Drosophila melanogaster: one gene and its partner. The protein of the gene in region 2 purifies or fractionates together with the protein of the main gene of each other region. This does not show direct contact. Each region holds a gene or a part of one and is shown on either strand. Other genes may lie near its edges.

Region 1 (3,636 bases), about 18 Mb from region 2:
TCCTGGGGACCAAGGGGAATGCTCTCTTGCGCTATAAATTCCCACAACAAATATTAATCTTAATTTTTGATTTGCATGCCTATTATGTTTTGATTTTGATTCCTGAGCTTGTAATTTTCTATGATAAATTCAAAAACTAATGAAATAAAACGCATTGAATGAATTTTATAAATTTTTTGCAATCCGATCTAACTATGCCCGATATACAATCAAAATATGCATTACCTAATTAAACAATTAACTTACTAGCGTTAAAAGTTAGTTAGTTATATATCTAAAAAATAAATTGATAATGAAATAAAGCGGTATGAACTTATCACATCCTTTTATCAAATGAAGCAAAGTGAAACGATTCAAAAAAACTTTATAATCCATTACAATTTTATAAATGAACAAGAATATTAATTAAACATAAAATAATTAAAATATTTCAGGTTTTCTATCTTTTTTGTAAGATATTTTAAATTCCCTTAGGACTATGAATCCGAAGACTTTTCATATGATAAGCCGTAAATATACACATACACCGGCAACTTGAAGAGCAAGATTTCCTCAAATACACATTTTCAACAGTCCCAATAAAAAATATCCCAAAATCACTTTCTGATTATATAAGAAATATTTAATGTACAACTAATATATGGAAAATGTTCCCGTTTTTCAAAAACTTAATACATATATTCAATACGCATTTTTAAATTAAATAGTGGTTACACGATTTGATTTACATTGTGCAAATAAAGTGATCTGCGTCAATGCTGGAATAAATGTGTCCCTCGGAAATCATAAAGTCCAGAATGTTGCTGTAAAAATAGGAACAATAAAATGTTATAATTAATATTAATTAATAAAGAATATCAAATGATGCAATAGTTTTGGATAAACAACTTACGTCAACTCAGAGTCGCTGATGTGGGAGAATTTGGCTTTCAGTTCCTTGCGGGAGATGCCCTCCTCGGAAACATTGCTCTTGATGGCCTGGAATACGGCCTGCTGCTTGGGCTCCAGCCCACTGACAATGGCCGAGCTCTGGGAGGCGGTGAAATCAGCTATGGAGCCTGAGCCGGAAGAAGCCCCTGCACCAGCTCCAGCTCCACCCTTGCTCTGGTAGTCCTCGGCCCTGTAGCGGGCATTGAGTACTTCCAGCAGGTGGGTGCACACCTCGTTGGGATCCAAAACGGGCAGTAGCTTGAAGATCATTAGGGTTTTGGAACCGCCTTGCGACCGGGTGGTGCCGTAGACCTTCACGTAGTTGTTGACCATTACTTCGGGTGCCTTGAGAGCGTCGCCCTCCTCAAGCCAGTAGTGCGCATCGATCCTGCCGCTATGATCCTCCAGGGTGTAGGTGATCTTCGTCGAGGAAGTCTCCACGTTCCGCACTATGGCCACAACACATGCCATGGCGTACTGCATGCCGAACAACTCGATGTTTCCCTCTGGGGCGTCCACAATCTGCTTCACCACCAGGGGCACTATTCCCTAGTTGCAATCATACGGAATCATGTTAGGTTGTGCAACTTTACTGGCGTCTCACTCACTTACTTCTCCCTTTTGATTGCTGGCGGCTCCAGTTGGCGCAGTTTGTGTGGCATTGAAATCTCCAACTAAAACGAGCTTCGTTATTAGTTCCCTTAATTTCTCTGAGCTACGGGCTATACTTACATGAATCATTCATTTTCTTGGCTTTTGAGGGATTTGTAATTGAGTATTCTATATAATTTCACAAGGGCCGCTGGTAAACAATAAAACGCGCGAACGTAGAGCTGATAGTGTGGCCGTAGGTCGAACACGTAGGAATAACATCTATTTAGTATATAAGAAATACGAAATATTGTAGTGTCAATATTTCAATATTTTTCCTGAAAAACTGAATTATTGTAATAAATTGGGAATATACCTTTTTCAGTTAAAACAAAAAAAGAAAAACCACAAAATTTTTTATTTTTTACAGGACTTACAGCCCCCTTAATAATTCATTTATTTTCTTATGGGTAACACAATATTTTTCTTAGCACTAATAATTTCAGAAACACTTAGAAACCTAAAACCTTTTTCAGCGTTCGCTGAACCTCTTTCCTATCGGTCTTTCTTCCTTTTTTCTTTAGTTTCAGCATGGGCTGAAGGACAAATGTCCTTGTTCAGGCACTCCCCACAATTTGGCTTCACTGGGGTGCAAATGGTTTGTCCGAATCCCACGAACAAATGATTGACCTCTGACCAGAGGCTGAATGGCAGCCACTTCTCCAACGCCACACGGGTTTGCTCGGGCTCCTTGGTGGGCTTCGGCACCCAGCCCAGCCTGTTAGAAAGGCGGTGGACGTGGACGTCCACTCCGATTCCGGTTATCTTGTTCCAGGCCACTGCCATGCATATATGGGCCATCTTGGGGCCAACTCCTGGAAGAGCTACAAGGTCCTTGACATTATCTGGAATGTCCGAACCATACTTGTCCGTCAGTATCTCCACGGTTTGCTTGAGGTATTTAGCTTTGTTCTGGAAGAGATCGAGAGTAAGTGCGATATATTTATTTATTATTAATTCCACCAAACCTTGTAGAAGGATACGGGATGCAGTAAATTCTCGAGTTCAGTCACTGGCATTTCCTTTACTTTCAGTGGAGTTAGACCTCGGTCTTTAAGGCGATTCATGGCTTCATAAGTAGTTTGGTCTTTGGTTTGACTGGACAGCATCAATGCCACTAAGTTTTGGAAGCGCTGGGTCTGCAAGGAAGTTGTTTGCTTGTAACATATTCTTCTATGTACTTAATTCCACTTATTGGAAATACCTTCGAGTCTGCTTTTAAATCGGCGCATCGGTGGCATCCCATGGTGTCCACTGGCGCAGTTCTGGAGTTTCTCATAATGCGAATGTTTTCTAGGTGGTTAAACCACAAAGGATGTGGTGCTTGCACCTCAGAAAAAGAAGGGGAATCCTCCGGAGCTTCCTGTTTTATTTGGGGTTCCACCTCCTCTCTTATCTTATCCACTCTCACTGGGGAGTCCACAGCATCAGGGACCACCTTGCATATGACCACAGTAGCCGAACCCATTTGAACTCTGGTTACCATGCGATCATCCTTTCTAAACTTTTTGGGTGCCACTCGAGCTGGAGACAAGGGCTCCATTTTAATGTTAGTTTTCTTCACGGCTTCCCCATTTAAGAGACGCTGCTTGCGGGTTTGCACGGGGGAGAAGAACACTGAGCTACTCGATCCTGCTGCGCCAGCAGATACACCAACCAGATCCTCTATATCCTGGAAGATTTAGAAACTGCGTCTTGAGTATCAATTTCATTGTTTATCATGCATTTCCGCCTACCCTCACGTTATCCGCCCTATTTGGACGACTTTTTATTTCCGTGGGTTTTATAAGATCTCCGCGTTTTGCCAACTTGTTGGCCAACGTTAATTTCTTTACATTTTTGGCCATAGCTAATACAATTTCTGCGCTTCAGTTTCAGTTTCCATGTTTGTTTACATTTCGAACCTATCGATTTCGATGTAGGAGAAACGGCCACACTTTACAACTAAGTAGCCGGGAACATTTGAAATTTCGAAATATTCAACTCATGCAAGTTAGGATTTTAAGAACCATTTTTCGTATGCTACAGCATAATAAGTTATAAGCTATTACAATA
Region 2 (3,811 bases):
GCTGTTTCGAACTTCGAAAACATTTGCCTCCGCGTTTGATTTGATTGCTGCGGATTAATTACAAAATAACCACGAAATAATGGATAGCGAGCTGAACGGATCGGAACTTGGCACCAAGGAATTTTGGGAGTCCAGCTACAACCGGGAGATACGAAACTACAAGAGCCACGGCGACGTGGGCGAGATCTGGTTTGACGAAAGTGCCCAATGGCGAACGATCGACTGGCTGCTTAACGAGGAGAAGATCGACAAGGAGGCGAGTCGAGTGCTGGACCTGGGCTGCGGCAATGGCATGTTCCTAGTGGGCCTGGCAAATGAAGGCTTCACCGGAGACCTGACCGGCGTGGACTACTCTCCCAAAGCCGTCGAGCTGGCGCAAAACATTGCGGAGGATAACAAGCTGAGCATCACATACAAGGTGGCGGACTTAACCCAGCCGCAGAACGAGCTGGGCCAATTTGACGTGGTGCACGACAAGGGAACCTACGATGCAGTCAGTCTTTGTCCGGATAATGCCAAGGAGAAACGTGCTCTCTACCTGGACACGGTGGAAAAGTTGCTGCGAACTGCTGACAGCCTGTTTGTAATCACGTCGTGCAATTGGACCGAGGACGAGCTGGTGGATAGCTTTGCCGAGAAGTTTGTCAAGTACTATACCATTCCCACGCCGACCTTTAAGTTTGGCGGCAAGGTGGGCAATGTGGTAACCTCAATTGTTTTCAAAAGGAAAAAGGAATAAACATGTTGTATCTCAAAGTGAATAACTTTTTTCTCCGGGAAAGCTGGTTGGACTGGACACTTTTATACAAATATACTTATTATAAAAATATTTATAATAACACATTAAAAATCAATTATTAAAATCCTACATTATAAAAAATATAATAATCCATTACATTTTAAAATGAAGTTCATGCTGGAATAGAATTTGTTAGATTGCGCTCTTTTTTCGACAAACAGGAGAGCCAAGTGGCACCACTTGCTGGAATGGAATGGCCTGCTCCTCGGCGAAGGCCAGGAAATCAATGCCGTAATGCTGTATCAGTTTTGTGGTCATGACTACATCAGCCTCTGCCTGGTGAGCACTAAGTGCTGGTATCTTAAATATTCTCGTGTAGAGACTTTCCAAATTATAAACTCCGCGGGGGGGATAGCGTTTGTTCTCGGCACACTTGCATCCACTGAACAGCTGGCGTCGTGACCTAAACTCATCGGGTTTCCGCTTGGGAGGGGTCTGCTCCTCCAAGTCATCCTCATCGCCGTCGCGTAATAACTTACGCTTGGCGAATGCCTCTGTAGGCTTTAAAATTGGACGATTTGGAGTGGTTTCGTTTCTGGTTCGCCAATCGATGTTCACGACCGCTTCTGGCTCCTTGAGGCAAGTTTCAGTATTCTGTTTGGGTTTCAGCTCCGGAATGATTTCCTGCACATCGTTGGGTACTTTCAACTGACTGGTTTCTTTTTGTTGTGTGTCGTCAATCTCCATGAAGGCGCGCAGTGAGTCAACACAAGTCAGGGATTGGGGAAGCTCTATGTTTAGTTTCTCAAATGCCTGCCTCAGAATGGGAAAATCGAAGCCCCAACCATTGTGAGCCACCAGGCAAACCGGACTCGGCAAGTGCTTTAGAAAACTGACGATGAGTTGCGCGGCATCCGTGTCTAGCTGGGACTCCCGCTCCAGCAAGTAGTTGCTCAGACCTATTGGGTGATAAAATCATTATGTGAATGACTCACGGGTGCATTTTGCAGCTAACCTGTTATTCTCTCCGCTTCCGGGTCCACTACCATGGACGGCTGGAAGAGCACATTCAATTTGTGCAGCACCCGCGGTGCCGCTGGCAGCTCCTGCTGCTCATCCTGGTCCTGCTCCTTCTTTTTCTTCTTAAGGAGCGCGGCTTCAAAGGCGTAAATGCACAACTCCGTAATGCTCACTCGGTTGTTCCTGTAGGCAGGCAAGTTGGTGGTCTCTAGGTCCAGAACGGCAAATGTGGAAATCTTTGGCTGCTCCTCCGCGTGCTCCGCAACTGCATCGTTCGGAGCCATTAAGAGCGCAACTGGTGGCTAAAAGTGCATGTACATAGTATGTACATATATTTCGTTTTATTCAAAATGTTTGAGGACCAACACGGAGTTCTCATTACATTTGCCAACACTACTGTTGCCTTGAAAACATAGAGATGGCACAGTGAACTATCGTGACAAACTTATAAACTCAGTGTGTGCACTAACAGAATTGTTAATTTAAAAAAAAGACGGTTGAAAAATATACCAGATTATTGCCCAATCTAGTCAACTATAATAAATGATTGGCAAGAAAGCGCGCTGGCAATACTAAACTTAAATTTGACACTAGGCTCCCGTGTCACGCAAAGCAGGCCAGGATTTGCTGTCTCTAACTCAGCGGATGAATTACACCTAATTCCTCACTTTTGCAGCAAACGTCGACAAGTGCAGTTAACATTTTGTGTGAGTATTAGAACTAACTAGAATAATTAGAAAATGGAGGCCACCTACCGCCAGGAACGGGAATGGCTCAATGCCCGCGCTCCCATGAATGGCAATAGTTCCGCCAACTATGGCCCTTATCGCGGCTATGACGGCTTTTTCGGCCAATTGGGCCAATCACAGATCCCAAATCAGACCCAAATGGGTCAAACTTTGAACGGCTCTGCCTCCTGGTCGTTCCCCTCCATGTCCTCTGACTACCACCAATCCCCTGCTGCCCCGCAGGCCAACTCTAACTGGAGCCGCGAAAGAGTCAACTGGAACAACGAAATGCGTCGCGACCCCTCGTATCAAGCTGAGCCAGGCAACACCATCAATCGCTCGTGGCCCGGCAACGGCGGCCCTTCCGACGGGAGCCATTGGCCCACTCCGAACTCATCCATGCAGGTGACATCGGGTGAAAGGGGACTGCCGGAACACATTCGCAAGGAGCTATCGCTCCTTGGCCCCGCCAAGCGCAAGTGGTTCTTTCGCTATCTGGACACGGGCATCAGCAATGAAAAGGCCCTTATGAAGGCCTCGGAAAGACGCACCAGTCCGGTACGTTCTGAGTGGTACGACAAGTCAGTTTCGGCTGACCGCGGACGCAGGCGTCCGGAGCAGCCGATTTCGGATGATCGCGTTCGCAAGCGTGCGAATGATGATAACTCGTCGGGCGGTAGAGCCCATGAGGATGTAAAGAAGCAGAGGGTCCCAGAGCCGTCATGGACCTCGAAACAGAATAGTATTACCATGGCAATAATGGCGGAAACTTATCCGGATTGCGAGCTGACTAATCAGCAATTGCATGAGATCGAAGCCGGCCTTGTGGAGGAGTTGAAAAAGGGTTGGAAGTCCAGCATCAATTTTGGGGGCATTCAATTTCTTACTGGAATGATCCAAGTTGTCTGCATGGACAAGAACTCCCGCCAATGGCTGGAGCATGCGATTTCCAAGATCACGGCGTTACCGGAAACTAAACTAATTTGTTGTCCGGAGGATGATATTCCGGCCACAAAGGGAATCACAGTCAGAGTACCACGTTCAGCTGATGAGCCCGATAAGGTCACGTTTCAACTTTTAAAAGACCAGAATAGCGACCTTCTGTCGAAGACTTGGGAATTTGGCCGTATAAGCCAGACCAAGGATGGCAAGGTGGTAGTAATAAGCTGTGGCAGTAAGTCTTACAACCTGGTGCAGAAGAAGGGCTTTTGCCTTAGCTACCGTTTTAACCAGCTCAATTGCCGCGAGATAAGTGGCAAGGAGGCCCTCAAGGCGGTTCGCAGCTCAGAGGCTAGGTCCACCGCCGAGTTATCTGAAATTGACC

Evidence for each region.
Region 1: the proteins of CG3165 (region 2) and RPA2 purify together in Drosophila melanogaster (affinity purification with mass spectrometry, with the first as the bait; one large-scale study listed by BioGRID). This does not show direct contact.

What each region holds. Positions count from the first base shown.
Region 1 is NT_033779.5:20,924,372-20,928,007, forward strand, and holds RPA2 (replication protein A2), read right to left. Parts: upstream 1,777-3,636; 5' UTR 1,676-1,776; coding exon 1,663-1,675; intron 1,605-1,662; coding exon 1,543-1,604; intron 1,480-1,542; coding exon 893-1,479; intron 804-892; coding exon 725-803; 3' UTR 604-724; downstream 1-603. Other genes in the region: Nthl1 (Nth-like DNA glycosylase 1), read right to left, coding at 2,077-2,493, 2,550-2,720, 2,786-3,253, 3,318-3,428.
Region 2 is NT_033779.5:2,975,474-2,979,284, reverse strand, and holds CG3165 (uncharacterized protein), read right to left. Parts: upstream 2,164-3,811; 5' UTR 2,044-2,163; coding exon 1,755-2,043; intron 1,699-1,754; coding exon 932-1,698; 3' UTR 785-931; downstream 1-784. Other genes in the region: CG9643 (uncharacterized protein), read left to right, coding at 80-739; CG9641 (uncharacterized protein), read left to right, coding at 2,500-3,811.